Coturnix japonica: one gene and its partners. The protein of the gene in region 4 purifies or fractionates together with the protein of the main gene of each other region. This does not show direct contact. Links are inferred from orthologs where the notes say so. Each region holds a gene or a part of one and is shown on either strand. Other genes may lie near its edges. The genes, in order: MTA3, KDM5A, ZNF687, ZMYND8 and MTA1.

Region 1 (4,037 bases), on a different chromosome or scaffold from region 4:
GTACTTCAACATTTTTTTCCAGTCATATTTTATATGACATGGTGTGTTTAAAAATTAACTTCAGCTTACAAGATAAATTAGCCATATATTTATATTTACACACATATATATATCATCCTTATTTACATCATGATAAGCATTTTGCTTGTTAACTTTTTACATAAGTTTATTATACTAATAAGTAATTAATTACACTGCTTTATTATTTTTAATAGTTATAGTAGTATCAGAACTAAGAAATATTTGTGCCTTTCCTACACACTGAAAAAGCTCCACACCCTATATAAAAATACACGCGGCATAAAGACAGAGAATACAGTCTCAATTTCAATTCACAAGCCTCCACTCACAAAAAGCAATGTAAGAAACATCCACAGGAGCCTCGTATTGTTACTGGATCACTGAAAAGTCTCACTGACACCGACAAGTCTTTACCTACATATCCAGAAGCAGACACATTACATTATTGCTATCACTCCAGATGGATTCAGCCTCAGCATCATGAAAAGAATTAAATTTAGTAACTTCCTCAATCATCCACATGATTGGTTTGGATTTTCTTTTTTTTCTTTCTTATTTTTTTTTTCCTTTTAACAACAGGGAACTCCTGTTCACTGTGAATGTTAAACTGGGCGTTTCCTTAGATAACAGGGTGGAATTGCAACTTATCACACAGCAAGGTTTTAATACCTGAAATACAAACAAATGCATAACAAATCCTAAAGAAGTAAAAAAAAAGATGCAGGAAATTCTACCAATTGAAATCTGTCGGGATGTTTAATTCACCCTCAGTTGTGGAAAAGTGCATTGAAAGCTGCAGAAAACTAAGCAGGAACTTTGGATGTTTGCATACCTTGTTAAGCTCTTCAATTCGCCTAATGAGATATGGATTGCTGGAGGAATTTTCAAAATAAACATAATCTGCAATAAAAAAAAGACATTGTATTATTTAAAAAAATAATACAGCTAAAAACACTTTTTTTGTGTGTGCAAAAGGTTTTTTTTTAAGCTAGAGTGACCTCCAGGTGACCTGCAGATGTCCTTCCCAACTTCAACCATTCTGTCTTTAAGGGAGATTTAAGAAGATAGGTCTTAGCTAGTTTCTAGATTATAGGAATAATACCTGTGTAACATATGTTACCTCACACTCATTATCACATGCTGCAACAACACAGTTGTCCGGATGAGTAATGGTGCATTTTATGATACTTGGTTTTGTTGTCATCTCTGCTCAGTAACATGTAAACTACATTCAACAGTAACAGAGCCTCAAGTCGTGATGTTCTCCTGTGCCAAAACCTCTACTAGGATCATTAAAATAAGAGTATTCTCATGGAGTATATGGAAATCTGCTCATATCCTTAAAGCTACTCCCAAGACGCAAACAAAAAAACCAACACAAAAAACATTTTCTTCTGTAGGTTTCCCAAAACCTGCATCAAACAAAAAAGTAGCCACTGAATGACAATCACATTCTGCACTCAGTATCTGACTTATTGCATGGTGTATCTCACAAGTTTTATTTAAAAAGAATAGGGAGTTAGAGGAACCATATGGATGTATAAAACCTTTTGCTATGCTTTGACATGAGGTTAAAGCCAAGCAGAGCCTCAGGAAGCTCAAATATCACTGAAGGAAGAGTAAGGTCTCTGTTGCTCACCCTTAAGGTCACAGCAGAAAAAAAACGGGGACTCAATGATGACCTAAGAAACAAACCCAACCAAGATGTCAACAGCATTGCTTGGGAGGGGATTACTGCGATGAGTAAAGGCTGATGGGATTACAGCCTCTACGCCTGGATGAAGGAGTGTGCAGAAGGGCGAGTGGTAGGTATGTCAGCACACCTTGAAACTGACACAGAAAGAGCCTGAAGAGATGGGTGGGAGAGCACGGCTCCCTGTTAGCATCGTGCTTAGCAAGGAACAGGAGCCAGGAGTGAAAAGCGAACTTTCTGCGCTGCACCTGAGCGGCAGCACCGGAACAGTGCCACGTTCATTCCACGGCGGGGGAGAAGGAGGGGGGGATGGAAAGTTATCAGAGTCAGTTTCGACGGGTTGGGGGTGGGAAACCCAATGCTTGTTTTGCTCCCAAGCGACTCCTCGCTCCCGCCGTACGCCAAGCGGCCATCTACCAGCGACCTAACCCGGCCGGCAGATCCCCTCCATCTACCCGTGCGGATGCGTAATTCATCTCCAAGAGATGCAGGGAGGCGCGCAGGAACTCGGAGGGCTCATCCCACGCCTCCTGCCCGCACCACGCCGCCCGGGCCCGCCAGGCCGCAGCAGGGCCGGGCCCGGCCGTGCCAGAGAGCCGGGGGCGCAGCGCCCGCCAGGCCGCCCAAGCCCGCACGGCCACGGCGAGAGGCGCAAAGGGCGGCCATGCCCGGCCCGGGAAGAAGCCGGCGCCGCCGCTCCCTCTTTCCTTCCTTCCCTGCGGAGGGCGGCGCTGCCCTTGTGCCGCTCGGCGCGGGGCGGCCTCCCACCCTGCGCGCGGGGCTGCGGGGAGGAACCTGCGTCCTCCGCTTCCCCCCCGGGCACGGCTCGGGTGCCCCGCTCGGGGTCGCGGCGCCGCAGAAGGAAGGCGAGGGGACCGGGGAGCCCCTTCGCAGCCCGGCGGGTGGGGAGCGCTGCGGGGCGCGGAGCCGCGGTCGCTGCCCCGCCGCTACCTACCTCCCACTCGGTACATGTTGGCCGCCATGTCTGCGCTCTGCGCCCTCCTCCCGCTGCCGGGCCGGGCTGGGCGAGGAGGGAGCGGCTCCCGCGGCCCCCCCGCCCCGCTCTCGCCCCCACCCTGAGCCAGCCCTCCCCGCCCGGGCACAGGACACAGCGCCGCGCCTCGAGGGGCCGCCGCTTCCGGAGCCGCCCGGCGGGGAAGGGGTTAAAAACCGCCCATGCCGCCTCCCCTTCGGCGCACACACCGACCCTGGGTCGGGTGTTGGGGCTCAGCCGCAGCCTGCCGGCTCCTCGGGGGTGCGGCCGCAGATGGGGCTTCCCTCTGGGGGTCGGTGTGCTGCGGCTGAACCCCTTTGCCGCATTGTGACTGTGCCCCACTCGGGTCTTTGTTCCCTGCAACCAAGTGGCTTCACTCTCCCCGTGGGCGGCTACTTGCGGCAGCTGGGGGAAAGTTTGGCACGCGTGTGCGCGCAGCACCTGTTGATGATCGATTGGGAGAGGGTTTGTCTCCATACAAAGAGCGGGATGTGACCCGGGAGCTCGCTTTGGGGCTTCTTAAGCTGCCTGCTGTGCTCGGCGAGGGGCGGCAGAAAGCATCCCCGACAAGACAAAGGTAGATCCCGCAGCTTAACTAAGAGCTGAAGGAGCTGCTCTCAGATCACCTGATGAGGGGGGTGCCTGAAAAACATCGGTGTTGATATTACAGGAAGGCACCTCCCTGTGTTTGTATAGGATCTACACCACCACAAACTATATACTTTATGGCCAATTTTGTGCTGCTCCCTTCGAGGAGAAGGGCTTTTTATCATTTCTCTTGCCAGGATGGTGATGATTTGTTACACGTTTCACACCCCAGATTTTTCTGAATGCAACTCAACAGTACCAAGCAAGATTTTCAGTTCATCCTGAGAGGAAAAAAATGAATTCCCCAGTGTTTCAAGTGGTCTCTCCTCACTTTATCCCTTTCCGTGAATCAGGGCCGATTAGATGAAGGCTTCTTTTACTGCATATTTAACTTTCTGAAACGCTGCTTTGAGTGAAACAAACTACAGAGCTGCTGAATGATGTGCACCTGGTAAGCAAAACACACAGTCAGGTGGTCCTCTTTATTAAACAGCAACGAACTCAGGCATTGAAATGAAAGATCTGGTATCATCCTCTATTTTGCCTCCTGACAGGAACATCAGTGAGAGCTGACAGAAAGCCCATGGGAGGTTGCAGCTCTATCCAGCTGGTTCTCCCCAGACACAACAGCACTACCATGCCATGGACCCAAATAGAAGTGGTTAGAAGTTAGGTGGGGGTTATTTTCATTCCTGCGGTTTACTGCCTGGTTAGTGAAACTGAGGTTAGATGTTGAAGGCA
Region 2 (4,223 bases), on a different chromosome or scaffold from region 4:
CCACTGCCAAGTATAAACACTAATGCGGTCTTCAGGTTTCTAAAGTCTCCCCACACAGAAACCTGACAAGATGTAAATCTCAAGCAGGGAGACCTACAGCTTGCAGTGTAAACACAGAACTGTATCAACAGTGGAAAGGCTCACCTCCAGTTCATTCAGGCGCTGAATTCGTGGAGTGAAACGAAAACTCTGCACTTCACAAGCAAATGGAGGCTGCCAATCCTAAGGAGAGACAGAAAGACGTTTTAGTGTTTCAAGAAACTTAACTAAAAAAAAGGCACAGAAAACCTTCATAACTTGGTCATTCAGACTCCTCCTAGTAAACGAGTTTCAGCAGGATTTGTAATATTTTCCAGTTTTGTGCTATTATCGTGCTTCTAAAAAGTTCTCACAACATTTTAGTCAGACGAAAGAAGCCTTCACAAAGTTAGAAGTGAGCAAGAAAATAAGGCTTGATGAAATTCAGCATAGCCCATCTCAAACCAGGCTCTCAATTGAGACAGAGATTGTGCTGCTTGTTGGCATTTATTCAAAGAGGGAAAGTTCTGTATTTCCTGCACACTGCAAAACTGTCACTATCAACAGCGATAAACACCAAATAACATATAATACTATGCATGTAACTCTTCCATGTTTGCCTACATTAATATTTCAATAGTCCAACACTTCAATGGAAGCACAGTCCTAAATAATGACTTTTTGAACGGTCAGCACTTGGTTCAATCACTCACACCACCCAGATTCATCTCGTCTCTCTAAACCACGTTATGGCATCAAAACAAATATAAATCAGCTTTTTAGTACCTCTTAAGAAATGTTAAAAATTACAGTAGGTAGTTTAGCAGGCAGTAAACACAACAAAGTAGGGACACAACATTACAGATGGACAAAAAATGGCTGCAGCATCCAAAGGCCTCAAGCACAACTGCAAAATATTTACAGATTCTAATAATGGAAAAGAATTGCAAATCAGCAAGTTTAGCACCAGGTGTCCGACTTAGCTCTATCTTGTATGTCGCAAACCAACCTGATGCACACATCCAGCAAAGCCCTGCAACAACAGTGGTCAAACACTCAGAGAGAAACACTGCAGCCTTCAGTGGCTAGGAAAGTTCTAGGTGCTCTCAATGAATCGGATCTGGATCAGTTCCCCGTGGCCTCTCCCAAAACCTTAAGCCATTCTGCTTATTTTAGAAAAGCCAGCCCCTTGGAGGTCAAGATTTAACCATGACATTAAACCACCTAAAAAGATTCCAGTAACCCTGTGGATCGGGAAAGGAAGGATCATAGAATCTAATTGGCAGTCTCCATAGCCAGGCTACCCTTAGCTCCTTTTTTTTCCACATTCTTTTTCTCTCTCCTTCGTTATTTTCCACTCTCCTATTTTATAGGTTAATTTGTACTTAATTATGAAGAAGGCTCTGAGCTCCTGCGTTGCTTGATGTTCTTGTCTGAACGGTCACAGAACAAGGCATCATAAAACACTCCTTTCTGCACCAGGCCATTGGAGATATTATTCAGCTCCTGCTTTCTAACCTGCTAACACCAACACTAAACTCCTGCGCACAACCAGGGTGGCCGCACTTCCACCAACAGCCTGAAGGCTGTTTACAAACAATGGCCCCCTTGCAAGGCCCGTCCTTCCTCCTCCCTCCCCACCCCCCAGCTCTTACAGTGTAAATGCCTACTTTCAGCTACAACGCACTGCAGCTTTCCGACACGCTGTTTGCTGGTTTTTAAAGCAAGAAGAGTGTCAAGCCCAGGCCCTGGCCGTGCCTACGGGCTTCTCACCCGCTTCAAAACCACTTCTAAGTACAAGGATCGCATATATGCTTTATAACCCATCTCTGGATTATAGAGTTTGTTTCCGCAAGTCAGGGTCTCTGCGCCCTCGACGTAACCTGAGGAAGGGGACAAACGGAACCCCGCAACCGGGGCACGGGAACTCAACAGCCTCAGGGGGATCCCAACCGCAGCGAGTACCGCAAACTGGGCCGGAAACACTCGAGGAGCGGAGGAAGGGGCTCCCGACCCCGGGGGCCGCCCATGGACAGAGCCCGGCCCTCTCCAGCCGCCCGCCGCGCCCCACAGCCGCCGGCTTCCCCCGGTCCCGGCTGCATCCCGCCCTACCCCCGCGCCAGGCGGGCGGTACCTTGGGGGGCCGGATCTTGCAGATGCCGGTTTTCTCGGCCAAGCCACGGATGCGGCCGATGAAACCGAGCGGGTCGCTGAACTCCTCCCAGCTGGGCTCGAAGACGGGACACTCGGGCGGGGGAACGAACTCGGCCGCGTAGCGCGACCCGCCGCCCCCCGCCATGGCTGAGGAGGGGGGGGAAGGCGCTGCCGGCTGCGGGAGGGGGGCGGGGAGCGGCACCGAGGCACGGCCACACAGGGGCGGCCCTCAGGGGCGGCCGGCGGGGCAGGGCCGGCGGCCGAGGCGCATCCTCCGGCGGCCGGAGCAAGGCAGAGGCAGGGCAGGGCCGGACAGGGCAGGGCAGGGTAAGCCGGGGCGGGGCGGCGGGGGCAGCGGGGGCGGCTCCTGCCGGGTGTCGTCGTCGTCGCCCCGTCCCCCGGGGTCGGCTCCCCCCGCGCCGAGCCCCTCTGGCTCGCGTTCCAGCTCGTCCGGAAGTTACGCGGCCGCTTTCAACCCTCCTCCGGAAGAGGGAGCAGCTGTCGTCTTCCGAGCCGAAAAATAGTCCCTCCACCAGGGCACAGGGAAAGGCCGCCTGCCGCCCCCACCCAATGGAGAAGACGTTGCTCCGGTGAAACCGAAAAGAAAAGCACTCGGGGCGGCACTTGGAGCTGAATCGTGCGGCGTGGCGGCCGGAGCGGCCGGGGGGAGGGGAATTGGGGTCGGGGGGGGAAGGGGCCGCCTCCACTTCCTGCGCGGAGGAATGTGCGACGCTATTGAGAGCCGTTCACTTCCCGTGCTGAGGGGCCGGCTCGCCCATTGTGTGAGCAGGACGTCAGGGGGGAGGGCCGGCCCCGCCATGGACTGGGGCTGTCGGGCCCGAGGGCGGGGGAGGGGAGGAGCTGTTTTAACTCAGGTGTCTCCGTGGTACCCCCTGTGTATGGACCTGGATGGTAGCGCTGGGTGATATAGGGAAGATACAGGGAACATCGCTGTGCGCCCCGGTGGCGCAGTGGTAGGAATGCCGCGTTGTAACACCAGGGCCCTGGGTTCGAATCCCCCTGTGGGGCAAGAGGTAGAAGTGCCGCTGTGCTACACAGAGGCTCGAATCCCGGGGGTTGGACTCGATGATCTCTAAGGTCCCTTCCGACCCACACGATACTGTGATACTGTGATCGCTGTGTATAAAGATACCTGAGGCGTGGGCATCAAATGGGTGATAAAAGCACGTAAGTGATGTCAAATAACACACTTGGATCAGAGCTCTGCAGGACCCCTCCCAAAACTACAACTCCCACAGGCGCCAGCGAGAGACGCGTGCTGTCCGTGTCGCGAGTACTGATTGGTAGAGACAGACGGAGGCGCGTGGAAGGCTGCTCCTGATTGGTAGATTGGGTGGGCGGCGGGTCTGTACGCTGTTTGAGTGGTAACCGGCGTTGTTGTCCATGAGCGCTGCGGGCGGTTCGGCTAGGCGCTTCTCGCGCTCCAGAAGGTACCGTGTGGTGCTGTGGTACTGCTTGTAACTGCGAAACTCCTTTGTCTTCCTTCATCTCCTTTTCTTACCACCTTCCTTTCCAACTCACCTTTCCTAAATGAGCCGTGGGACCCCCCTTACCCTGCCAACTTCCTCCCTTTTCTGTAAGTTTTCCCCATCTCCTGTGTTCTGTTATTTCTAGGCTGGCGACCCCTCACAGCACATCCAGATCTCAGCCTCGGAGTAAAGGGGACTCCACTCCTCTCCCTTCCATCAATGAACGCCTGGCCTTCCTTCGCCCTTCCCGGGAGCTGCTGGAATATTACCGCAAGAGGATTGCTGACTTTGATGAGGAGCATGAGGATCTGGTAAAAAGGCTGGAGAAGTATAAAGAAACATACGATGAGCAGGTTAGGAAAAGAGCCTTATTTGATTACAAACAAACAAAAAAAAGCCACCAAACCAACAAGCGGTTGGATGTTAGGGGGAAGTTCTTTACTAGGAGTGGTTAGGCCCTGGAACAGGCTGCCCAGGGAGGTTGTGGATGCCCCGTCCTTGGAGGTGTTCAAGACCAGGTTGGACGGGGCCCTGGGCAACCTGATCTAGTAAAGGTGTATG
Region 3 (3,984 bases), on a different chromosome or scaffold from region 4:
GTAAATATGGTATATGGGGGGGTGGTATATGGTATATGGGGGGGGTGGTATATGGTGTATGGGGGGTGTTATATGGTATATGGGGGGATGGTATATGGTATATGGGGGGTGGTATATGGGGTACACAGACACAGCCCCCCCTTTGTCCCACAGGAGGAGGATGACTACGACGTGATGCAGGACCCCGAGTTCCTGCAGAGCGTGTTGGAGAACCTGCCCGGGGTGGACCCCAACAACGAGGCCATCCGGAACGCCATGGGGTCGTTGGCCTCACAGGCCTCCAAGGAGGGCAAGGACAAGAAGGAGGAGGACAAGAAGTGACGGGGTCGGGTCGGGGCTGCGCAATAAAGGAAATAAAGTCTGAAGCTCCGCCCGGTTCCGGACCCGGTCCATGTTCCTGCCCCTATTCCCACCCTGGGGGCGGGGGCAGCGCGGAGGCCACGCCCCCTCCCCCCTTCGCGTCCCCTCCCGGCGTGCACCGCGCCGCCGCAGGATGTTTACGGCGCGGCCCGTGGGCGGGGCTGGGATGATGAGCGGCGAAGGGAACCAATGGGGGAGCGGGCTGGGGGATGTTGTAATCGATTCTGGCCAATGGGAAGAGAGAGCGGGTCGGGGCGACTCATTGGTTCTTTCAGGACGGAAGTGAGGTCGCGTTGACCAACAGGAGAGCGAGGGGGCGGGGCGAGGGCCCAGCTTCCATGAGTGACAGCGCCGCCAACAAATGGGAGAAGACGTGGTGGACCGCTTGGGGCTCCCAGCGGATGGGGTGATGGGGGGGCGGGCCTTCGCCTTGACAGACAAGCGTCTCTTCCAATGGGAAAGCAACAGCTGGGCGGTGCCCTGAGCGACGCTGCGTGTGGCCAATAGCCGTGCGCCTCCTTGATGGATGGGCACCCAACTTTGGCCAATGGCAGGAGGGAGGGGGCGGGCTTGTTTGACGAGCGCAGGTTTCAGCCAATCAGCGGGCGGGCTGCTCGCAGAGCCGCCAATAGGTCGCCGGGAGGGCGGGACCACACTTTCAATGGCTGCCCCGTCCCCCAATAGATGCCCCCTCCGGGGGCGGATCCAGCTCCGACTCCACCAATAGCGAGTGCAAGCGGCCGCGACCACCCGCGAGCGACAGCTCCGCCGACCAATGAGCGCGCCCGCAGCTACGAGTGACATCCGGAAGGTCCAATAGCCCGGCGGCGGGGGGCGGGCGTCAGGGTCCGGCGGCGCAGGGCGGGGGGCGCGGGCCAAGCAGGAAGTGCAGCGAGAAGCGGCCGCCGCAGGTTGGGCCGCAGTTGGGCCCCGCGGCCGCACAGCGCCCGGTGAGGACAACGGGGAGAGCGGGGGGGGAGCGGGAGCGGAGCCGGGGCCGGGGGCGGAGCTCAGGGCCGGGGGGAGGAGCTCAGGGCCCCGACGGGGAACCGGGGCCGCGCTGGGCGCACGGCGCTGGGCCGGGGGTGAAGGGGCTGCAGCTGGAGGGGGGGGGGCTGCGCTTCGGGCCCCGGCAGCGCCCGGTGCGACCGCGGGGCGTCACGGCGGGAGTTGGGCTGTTCGTCCCCTTTATCCCCAGGGGAATCGCGGCCCCAGCGGCCGGTAATGGCCGCGGTTGGGTGCGGGCACCGCTCGAATCGCCGCCCTTCCCCCCCCCAACAACCACCATCACCCGGCCCCTCCCCGCCCCCCCGTGTTCCCTCAGCCCCGTGGAGATGACTCTGCTCCCGCCGTTCCCCATTCCAAACCCGGGGCTCTTTGTGGTTCTCCCCCCTCAGAACGATCCGGCGTTGCGGCTCCGGGGGGTGGGGGGGGGCTCCGTTGTGCGGCCCCGCTCCGTGCTGGGCTCCGTGTTGGGCTCCGTGTTTCCATCCCCGTTTCCAGCAACGGCCTCAAAAACCCCAAAGCTGATCCCGGGTTGGGAGGGAAGCACCAACCAGGAGTAACGGGGGGGGGGGAGCCTTGACCTCAGTGGGTCAACTGGGAGCTACTGGGAGGCTCTGAGCCCACTGGGGCTGATGGGCGGCTCTGCCCATCACTTTAGGCTCGGGTGATGCCCTCTGTGTCCATGGGGGGATGTGGGGCCGCTCTGTGTCTCATTGAATCCTTCTGGAGCCCCACGGCGCTTCCCTCCGGCCTCCCTGACTTTCTTGGCAGGGTTTGAGCCGGAGGGAATGGGCTGTTTTTGTTTTGAGCTCTTGTTTTCTCCCTCTTCTCTCAGTCCCCGGGTCCCTCCCGCCCTCATTTCCCAGCAGCTCCACGCACCATCAGGGAGCAGGCGGCCTTTGGGGGGGCTGCAGTTCCTTCCCCATAACAAACTGCATTCACCAGAGGGTCTGGTGTGGTGGTGGTGGTGGGGGGGCTCATTTATGGCAGCAGCTGCCTTATCTATGGGGCAGACCACCAGGTGTGGGCACAGCTGTGGTGCTGCTGAGCCCTTTGGGGGGAGGATTGGATGCCTGCAGAGCACCTGCTGGCATTCAGAAGCTCCAGCTCAGCCCAGCCAAGTCGTCGGAGGGTTCTGGATCTGCGCCGCCGCTGCTTTGTTTGGTTCCTTCCTGCAGTCAGCAGATGGTGTGGGCTTAATTCTGGTCAACGGGCAGCACTGTAATCCCTGCGGCCGGGCTGCGGGGCCGTCTGCTCAACATGGTCAGGGGGGACCTGTGCTGTGCTGGGGGGGGAAGGACACTGAGATCACAGTGGGGTTGGGGCTGGGGGCTGCACGGCCCCTTCCGACATAGCTGTGCTGTGATCCCATGGTTCTGTGACCCATAGGGTCCCTTCAGACTCCACCTCACTGTCATCCCATGGTTCTGTGACCCATAGGATCCCTTCAGACCCAACCACACTGTGATCCTGCGGCCTTTGAGGTCTCGTCTGACCCAACCATCCCACAACTCCCTGCTGTATAACACACAGGATCAAAGCACCATGTGAGAGGTGTGGGGAGATGTGACCCCACATCCCTGTGCCCACAGATTGCAGACATCCAACGTGTCTCAGCATTGACCTCTGCTTCTCTTCCGAGCTGTTCTCTCCTCTGAAGCTCGGCTGAATCCCTTCTGGTTTTAGATGACAAAACACATGATAGGCCTGGAAATTAGCGAGGTTGGCTAACGAAGGTGGGCACTGCAGAACCAGGAGAGCCTCATTAAGTGCCGTCTCGTTAGGATGGCACCACAATCATTAGGATGGTACATTGATCATTAGGATGTGATGCTGGGGGGGGTCGGTGGTGATGTCAGCTCACTGTTAGAGATGCACTGGGGAGGGAAACAGGAAAAGCAGCTTTAAAAACAGCCCTGGAAACAGCTGCTATATGGGGCTGTGCTGGTGCTGGAGCACAGCTGTCCCCCTTCCCTTCCCCCCCACAAATGCTCTGCCCCATAGCTGAGCTGCTGGGAATGCTCCCCCTGGCAGACGGCGGCTGATGAGGATAAAAATACCCCCCCATCCCCACCCCCCCTTGGAGCTGCCTTTGTTTTGCCAAAGAAAAGTAGTTATTTTGTGCTGAAAAAAAGCCCGGCGGTCTTGTGGTTTGAGCTCCCAAAATAAGCACAAGACAGCCAGGCAGGTCGCAGTGCAGCCACGCTCTGCTGTCTGTGTGGGGGCTCCAGATGCTCCACCTGATAAAGGGGGGGGTTTGGGGTCCGGGTTTCCCCAGGGCAATCGCTGCCCTAATGAGTTGGGGGCCTTCCTGGTGCTGCTTCCTCTGCCCCATGCTGAGCAACCCCCTCCAGACGGGGCTCCCCCTGGGGGTCCTGGAAGGGACTCTGCAAGGAACAGAAACCAACAGCAGCTTCTTGCCATGGGGCTGGGAAAAAGGATATCCAAGGGAACCCCATACAAATGGGGCCAGCGGGGTACTCCCAGCAGTGCTCTGTGGGCCCCGAGGAATGGAGCACTGTGGGCTCCCACAGGGAAGGGGAGGTTTTACCCCATTGCTTTTGGGGACATGTCCAGTGTGGCAGCTTCCCTCAGCATCATGGTCAGTGTTTGTGTCCT
Region 4 (3,510 bases):
CCTAGAAATGTTACTGACACAATATCTTTTCATGCTAATTTTTAGAAAATCACAGTTGCAGAATGCATAGAAACACAGAGTAAAGCTATGACAATGCTCACCACTGAACAGCTATCGTATTTGCTGAAGTTTGCACTACAGAAAATGAAACAGCCAGGGGTAAGGAAGATTTCTTTTTTAATGCTTGTTTTGTATGTTTGTCATAATATTGGGTTTTGCTTCTTTTTGTTGATCTGAATCTAGCTTATTTTATCAGGTTCTCTGCCATGTACCACCCGCATATTACAAACAGCCTAGTTCAGACTGTGTATGCTGTTTTGGAATGCATGCAAAACACAGTTCCTTGATGCAGCTTCTAGTGATAGTTTCAGTGGATGCAGTGAAGATACAGCATAGCTTCCCAATGGGAATTTGTGCTTTCTCACTCACTGAAACTGAGCAATGCTGTGTCAAGTAATTAATTATAACCTTTAAAAACCTGGCTTTCCTCTGGTTAGTAGGAATTGTTCTCACCACAAAAATTAGTTCTATCGTATACTTGGGAAACACTGAAGAATTTTTTCTCAGTGACATCCTGTGCCACCAACTTGCGTACTGTAGGAATCTGCATGAACTTCTATCACAGAGGGAAAATGTTGTTTCCTCTAACTTTTACTAGTCTGTCTCAGTGTCTGTCTCAGACTTAACCCTCAAAATCATCAGTGCCTCCTGAGTGTTTCACATATTCCAGTCCCTCATTCTTTCTTCAAATTTCTGATTGCTCATTTTTCACTATACAAGCTTTGACTAGTTTTCACATGTGGGAAGAAAAAAAGTGTAGTAAGATGTTTTAATGGATTGTCATGGCTTATTTGAGCTCCTATTGCTATCCTGTCCCTGTAAATAAATTAGAGGAGTCTCTGTGCTTTACATACAGTAAAATATATTGGAAAAACCAGATGTGTGGAAGGAATCATGGCTGCTTTACAGCTCTGGTGTCTGCATGATAAATATTTTATCAGAAAAATAGTGACAGTTTCTGGGAAGGTTACTCTCTAATGTCGATAAACTTCAACTCTTGGAGTAGTTTAACTCTGGAGTGGTAAGTAGCCTCCTCTTAGGAGTCAATAGAAGCTTTAAATGCTGCTTTTCAGAAGCAAAGTATCAGTGTTTGTTTATTTTGAGTTGACAAAATATTTTGAATGTGCAGCTAGAAAGGCAATGTTTAATGAATGCTATGGGGATATTTTGCCCTTTAGATACTTACCTGCTGTTGTGGTGTCTGATAGCTTTATTTGGCTGTGTTCAGAGAACTGCAGCCCTTCCACAACAGCAGATAAAGTGTGGAGTCCCACTGATGGAAGTTTGACCTTATCTGCAAGACACCATTGCTCTGACAGTTCTGAGACTCAGAAATAATTTTATCAGTCTCGGAACTTTCAGAGTTATCTAGAGTTAGAAATAACTTTGTCAAACTCTAGATAAGGGGAGTATTTACTCTACTAAAAACTATCTGCTGAGCCTCAGCTAATGCTCTGCTCAAGAAAGAACTACTGTAAATAAGAACAGTCCGTTTTACAAAACCCCCAAGGCTTGTAATTCATTACTTCCAGCACATGGAGAATCAGCAATGTGAGGGCATTGATTTCCTCATTTTGCCAGTACTGTGTTAGTTCACAAATTTTTACTATTACTTTTAAAGAATTTTCTCTGATACCACAGTTGAAAGTAGTATTAGAAAAAGAGTGACTATTGAGTTGTTGATGAAATTGTTCAGTATGAAGAAGCAGTGTGATTTGTTTTCTCCTCACAGACAGAGCCATTTCAAAAGCCAGTTTCACTGGATCAACACCCAGATTATGCAGAATATATCTTTCATCCAATGGACCTTTGTACATTAGAGAAGGTTTGTATAAGGCAAAGACCTTTTGAGTTTGATGCTATGGTTAAGCTTTCTGGGTTCTTTGATGAGAGGAAGAGAGATTGCTTGAAATTATTTAAGTGTTTTGATTACAGTTTTGTTATTGTAAAACAACAATGTGCCAATTGAATGTGTCTGTTACAGTCTGAGCTAATAGTAAATGCTCAGGAAAAGCAGTATATGATTTGCCTTGGGACCAGCTGAATGTATGACCAGAGGTCATTCCAGGCTCATTTGCTGATCAAACATTAGAACTTACAGATGTAATAAATACTAGAATATCTGCTGCTGAGATGTGGGAGAAGAAAACAGTAAAGAAGTGGATTACAGGAGTTTGTCGGTTTAGTAATAAGTTAAATGTTTCAAGTTACAAAGTTCTTCATTCCCTGTTGCTTTAATAATAGTATAGCAATGCAGAGCTTTGTTGTGGTAGTGCCTGGTGATGAGTCCTTATTCTCTACGCCCTGGGAGCAGAGATCAGTGTCTTTGTGGCATAAAGGTGTAACAAATCCATGTCACTGATTTGATCTAACTGAATTACTTCACCCAGCTGTTGGGCTGAAATACCAAAAACTGGCTTATGGAGTACAGAAAATATTTTTTTTTCTGGGTTCAGGAAGATGCGAGTTTTACTCATATCTGTTTCCTGATACGTTTTTAAATGTTTCTTTCCAGAATGTTAAAAAGAAAATGTACGGTTGCACTGAAGCATTTTTGGCTGATGCCAAATGGATTTTGCACAACTGCATTATTTACAATGGGGGTAAGCACAGATATGGTGAAAGTATCTTCCTGCTAAATGCTGTAGTTTTAAACATGACTATTTTAAAAAAAAACAAAAAACAAAAAAACCTACATTTACACTTAATAGCAAATACTGCCTATGCTGTCCCTTTCTCAGTAGGAGAGCTAACTGAGGACATGTCCATTACTGAGTAGTGTGTCACAGCTGGGCAGGCTGCAACAGGCATAAAAAGGGAATGCACAAAGATTTTTCTGTGCTGTGTTTGCTGGGAAGAGCCTGTCACTGCTTCTACAAGCATGTGTTTGATATCTACCTGTTTTGCATTGTCTTTTCTGATGTTCTATGTTGTCTTCAACATAAACTTTTTATAACTAAAACCTGTTGATTTTTATCATCATTTTATACTAATGGTTTGCTTGCTTAGAGCATTTTTCTTATTGTCTCCTCAGGAAATCACAAATTGACACAAACAGCAAAAGTCATCATCAAAATCTGTGAGCATGAGGTATGTGGACCGCAGGGAATCTGGTTGTTCTATCTGTATTTTTGAAGTATTCCATTGCTTGTATTTGTGATTGAAATGTTTCCTAATGTGTGTGTTACAAACTATACTTTGTGTAGGGGATGCATATCCATGCCTTATAGAAGGCTTTTGACAAGGGCATTGCTAATAATACTTCCATTAAGGTACTCACCGTATGTGATAAAGGTCACAGCGATGGGAGAGAAGATGTGTGGGATCTGCACAAGGACACCTGTCTTCTAAATGGATGCTTGGAGGTGGAAGAAGAAACAGATGTTCTGATTTGTAGGCGTGTTTGAGGTGGTTCATTTGATGTCCCAGTACAAAAGCCCTGTGATTAAA
Region 5 (4,112 bases), on a different chromosome or scaffold from region 4:
CGAGATGGAAACGCACACAAAAAAAACCACCTGTCATTGTGCTGCATCAAGGGGATAACACAGCAGATCAACCTGCAGCGGGGCTCTGTCAGTTACAGCACTGCTGGGACACTGGGGCTGCAGCTGAACTCCTGGGGAAGGCACAGAGCAGAAGTGGAGCTTGCAGCACCTCCTGCACGGGGAGCCCGTGCAAACAGCTGTCAACGTGCTTAACTTAACACTGGCATCTGTCAGAGAAGCGCAGTCCACACATTGGATCACAAAAGCAAAACCCACAGCGTTTCACAAGCCGGCCAAAAGCGATCAACGTGCGCTTCCAGGAGTGTTATTGATCTCCATCACACAGGCTGCTGTTGGCAGCTGTCAGGTCTGCAGTTCACGCACGCGACTGGTAACCACAAGGCCAGCGGTGGATTATCTCTTGGATGCTCTTCCTGCAATGGGAAGTACACGAAGTGACCGTGTACAAATCAGCTGGGGATTTAATCCCGCCCTGGAACGCACACACAACTTCAGCACACAGCCACCAGCACCAGAGGTCAGCAGCAACCCAGCAACGCAACCTCTTGGCTCAGGACGGGGCCGCAGCACAGAAATGGCCACATCCATCCACACGTGGGGCTCGGCAGCACACCCAGCAAGGCTTCATCCACAAGAGCAACACCCGAGCACAGGAACTGGCCACCAGCCAGCGCCTCACCCTCTGCCTGCGGAGGTTGTGGAGCAAAGCCCGGACACCATTCCCAAGCACACAGGGGTGACCGACATCAGCCAAATGGCTACAGCAGGGGCTCAGCATGCCCTAGCAATGGGGCTCCCTGCAGAGATGAAGGCTGGCTGCACAGGGACGACCCTCAGCTGGCTGCCACTAAGAGAAGCCATGTGATCAACACGGGGCCACAGCCTTTCCCATCACCTTTCTAGTGATGGGAATGCACTCTGTGGACATGTGGGGAACTGTGAGAGACGTGGCACACACTGGAGGACAGGGCTGCTGTTTGAAGGAACTTCAACAGGCCGGGAAAAGGGATGCCAAGAGCCTCACTAAGTTCACCTAAGGCCAAGGGAACCCTGCACCTGGGGTGGGCAGCTGCAGGAGCACAGCAGGACTACGGAGCGGCTCTACAAAGACACCTGGAAAAACAACTGCCCAAGTGGCAGCATGCAGCCTCACAGCACAGCTGCCCAGCACCGCTCACCATGGCCTCAGCAGTGCAGCCAGAGAGAGGCCGGGTTCCGCCTGCTGCTGGGTACTGGCAACACACCAACACCACCCCAGCACAAGGATGGGTTCATTTGCTGTAAGTATGATCCAGCACCGGGATGGGCCCAGACCAAGGACACCATCCCAGCATCATCATCCGTAGCAATACCCCGGCTGGGCTGCACTTACCCATTGCTGTGCAATGAGCTGACTTGCAACAGCAAGCAGCCTATACATCTCCAGCACGGGCCCCTTCCCACTGCCTGTACAAGCCTACGGGGCACACAGTACAGGTACCATGCAAGATACACACCAGTACAGCACTCAGGACTCACATACACGATATTAAACACCAAACAGCGATTCCCTTTGCCATTCACACCAGCATCCCAGCCGTAAGTTCACAAGGCTCAACTCCATCCCTGTCCTCTGAGCACCACAACCCAACACACGGCTCCACACGCGCATCCATTGCCGGGGCAGCACAGGAAGCAGCGGCAGGCCGGCCCAGAGGCACAGCTCATCATCCATCTGTAAACCAACACCGCACCACACTGCCACAAAGGAGGCACGGAGTGAGGCCGGCCCAGAAAGGCAGACAGAACAGAAAGTAGCGAAGGATGGCGAGCAGCCGGGCAGGGCGGCTCGGACACCTCCGCTGTATTTTTTTCCCCTCCGTTTACTTTACTGCGTGTTTACTGCAGCCCATCACAAAGGGCTGCCCCGGAGCCCCACGGACGCGGGGAGAAGGAAGTTCCGCACAACATTTCTCGCAAAGGAAAATGGCTGAGCGCAAAGCCACGCCGGCCCACCCGGCTGTTGATACTCCATCACATCGCACGCCGGACCCCGCCGCCTCTCTCCTCTCCTCTCCTCTCCTCTCCTCTCCTCTCCTCGAGAGTTAAAACAAAGGACGAGCGGCCCATGGGCGCCGGGCCGGGATGGCACACGGGGAGAGGCCCGACCCACGGCCCGGCGGCCCCTGGCGGCCCCATCCCCGCGCAGCCGTTCCCGGGTGGGCCCCAACCTCCGCCCGCTCCACCCAGGGCCGCCCCCCGCGGCCCCTCGGTCTCCCCGCGCCGCCCCTTCACCCCGCTTCACCCCGCCGCCATCCTCACTCCCGACTTCCCCCCCGTCCTCCCCGCTCGGGCCCGGCCTCCCGCGCGGCCTCCATCCCCCCCCCAGGCCGCCCCCGCTCGCGGCCTACCCCCGCCGCCCCGCCCCGGGCCGGGCCTCGCCCCAACGCCGGATCCTCGGCCCGCCGGGCCCGCAGCGCCGCCCGCACGCGGCCGGGCCGGTCCTCGGTCCGGGGGCAGCGCCTACCTCCCACCCGGTACATGTTGGCGGCCATGCCCGGGACGGGTGCGGGGCGCGGGCCGCTCCCGCCGCCTCCTCCTCCTTCTCCTTCTCCTCCTCCAGGTGCCGGATCCGCTGGAAAATGGAGGCTGAAACGGCCGGGCGGGGGAGGGGAGCGGGGGGAATTAAAGGGGCCGCGCCGGCTGCCGCCCGGCCGCTCCAGGAAGGCGGGAGGGCGGCGGGAGGAAGGCGGGGCGGCGGCGGGACGGGAGCGAAGGGAGGGAGGGAGGGAAGGAGAGAGGGAGGGAAGGAGAGAGGGAGGGAAGGAAGGAGGGAGGGAGGGAAGGAGAGAGGGAGGGAAGGAAGGAAGGAAGGAGGCGGCCGGCACGGAGCGCAGCGTGGGGCGGAGAGCGCCGCGCCCGGCCTGGGGGAGCCCAGCGGCGACGGGCGGAGCGACGGGCTTCACGCTCAGCACCGCGTGTCCTCGCGTGCTGCCAGCCACAAGGGAGGACAACGAGCCGCAATACGCACCTACAGCCCGCACCGCCCAGCCCTTAGCAGCTCACCCCTGCCCTCTCGCCAGGCTCGGTTCCCCCCGCTCCCACCCCTGTATCCATCCCCCTGTGCCGGCTGTGACACCCAGCGGCTCCTCCTGCCAAACAGCCCCTGCTGACAGATGACTCCAGGGACGGGGATGTGCTTTCATGTCCAGTTTTATTAGTGTTGCATTAGTACCATAAAATAGTTGACGAGGTCGAGCACGTTGCAGTTTGTTCAAAAAAAAAAAAAAAACCAAAAAAATAAACCAACAAAAAAAACCCAAAACAAAACAAAAAACAACCAAGAAAGGCTATTTACATTTGAACTTTCGTCATAAAAATAAAAAGAAACAACCGAGAACCCAAACAAGACGACAATGAAACAGATGGACAACTCGGGAGTCTACAAAGTGGTAACGCGCCCTCGAGTGCTGCGGGCCGGGCAGGGCTGTTAGCACAGCACACAGCATCCATGGCAGCACAGCGCTTCCCCATTGCCCCGCAGTGCTGCAGAGCAGTGCTATTCCCTATGGAAACCAAGGACCCGCTGGTTGGGGACAGAAGCATCGCACCCACTGTTGCTCCAGGACCCCCCACCTCTGCACACCCAGCAGCAGCCATCAGCTCAGCCCCTCTCTACAGGGTCTTCCCTTCGAGCTTTGAGCCACAACGTGCAATGCCCCAATCCTGGCTCTGTGCTGCTCCCTCCGTGCCTGTTGCTGGTGGGAAAGGACCAGGTGGGGCCTTCCTGTGTGAGCTGCTTCCCGCTGGCACGGGCAGCAGGTGACCAATCCACAGAGCTGGGGACGAGCCTTTATCTCCAGAAACCCAAAGGACCAACAAGCACAAGGTGCAGCACGACACCACAAAACCCATCTCATCTGCTCACCAGCACAGTCAAACCAGGTCAGTGCCACAAGGAGCCCTCATCTCCAAGCAAGGTGGGAGCCCTTCTCCCAGCAGCGTTACTGTCTCCCTCCGGTGTAACCCGGTGAATTGGGGTGTACAAAGTTACACCAAGACACAAACCAACACGAAACACACCCAGCGCTCCTTTCACACGTACACACACA

Evidence for each region.
Region 1: the proteins of ZMYND8 (region 4) and MTA3 purify together in Homo sapiens (affinity purification with mass spectrometry, with the first as the bait; 3 studies listed by BioGRID). This does not show direct contact. The link is inferred for Coturnix japonica from reciprocal best matches to the Homo sapiens genes ZMYND8 and MTA3.
Region 2: the proteins of ZMYND8 (region 4) and KDM5A purify together in Homo sapiens (affinity purification with mass spectrometry; 3 studies listed by BioGRID and IntAct, with this or other methods). This does not show direct contact. The link is inferred for Coturnix japonica from reciprocal best matches to the Homo sapiens genes ZMYND8 and KDM5A.
Region 3: the proteins of ZMYND8 (region 4) and ZNF687 purify together in Homo sapiens (affinity purification with mass spectrometry; 4 studies listed by BioGRID and IntAct, with this or other methods). This does not show direct contact. The link is inferred for Coturnix japonica from reciprocal best matches to the Homo sapiens genes ZMYND8 and ZNF687.
Region 5: the proteins of ZMYND8 (region 4) and MTA1 purify together in Homo sapiens (affinity purification with mass spectrometry; 3 studies listed by BioGRID and IntAct, with this or other methods). This does not show direct contact. The link is inferred for Coturnix japonica from reciprocal best matches to the Homo sapiens genes ZMYND8 and MTA1.

The regions. Positions count from the first base shown.
Region 1 is NC_029518.1:21,251,520-21,255,556, reverse strand, and holds the start of MTA3 (metastasis-associated protein MTA3), read right to left. Parts: upstream 2,808-4,037; 5' UTR 2,698-2,807; coding exon 2,670-2,697; intron 922-2,669; coding exon 854-921; intron 1-853. UniProt on the Homo sapiens protein: Acts as a component of the histone deacetylase NuRD complex which participates in the remodeling of chromatin.
Region 2 is NC_029516.1:52,328,293-52,332,515, reverse strand, and holds the start of KDM5A (lysine-specific demethylase 5A), read right to left. Parts: upstream 2,807-4,223; 5' UTR 2,318-2,806; coding exon 2,153-2,317; intron 223-2,152; coding exon 145-222; intron 1-144. Other genes in the region: CCDC77 (coiled-coil domain-containing protein 77), read left to right, coding at 3,577-3,623, 3,808-4,015. UniProt on the Homo sapiens protein: Histone demethylase that specifically demethylates 'Lys-4' of histone H3, thereby playing a central role in histone code. Does not demethylate histone H3 'Lys-9', H3 'Lys-27', H3 'Lys-36', H3 'Lys-79' or H4 'Lys-20'.
Region 3 is NC_029540.1:2,270,661-2,274,644, forward strand, and holds the start of ZNF687 (zinc finger protein 687), read left to right. Parts: upstream 1-1,181; 5' UTR 1,182-1,310; intron 1,311-3,984. Other genes in the region: PSMD4 (26S proteasome non-ATPase regulatory subunit 4), read left to right, coding at 154-321. UniProt on the Homo sapiens protein: May be involved in transcriptional regulation.
Region 4 is NC_029535.1:5,095,502-5,099,011, reverse strand, and holds part of ZMYND8 (protein kinase C-binding protein 1), read left to right. Parts: intron 1-45; coding exon 46-159; intron 160-1,792; coding exon 1,793-1,885; intron 1,886-2,575; coding exon 2,576-2,663; intron 2,664-3,094; coding exon 3,095-3,150; intron 3,151-3,510. UniProt on the Homo sapiens protein: Chromatin reader that recognizes dual histone modifications such as histone H3.1 dimethylated at 'Lys-36' and histone H4 acetylated at 'Lys-16' (H3.1K36me2-H4K16ac) and histone H3 methylated at 'Lys-4' and histone H4 acetylated at 'Lys-14' (H3K4me1-H3K14ac).
Region 5 is NC_029523.1:3,968,276-3,972,387, forward strand, and holds the start of MTA1 (metastasis-associated protein MTA1), read right to left. Parts: upstream 2,803-4,112; 5' UTR 2,556-2,802; coding exon 2,528-2,555; intron 2,051-2,527; exon of another isoform or gene 2,036-2,050; coding exon of another isoform or gene 2,017-2,035; intron 1-2,016. UniProt on the Homo sapiens protein: Transcriptional coregulator which can act as both a transcriptional corepressor and coactivator. Acts as a component of the histone deacetylase NuRD complex which participates in the remodeling of chromatin.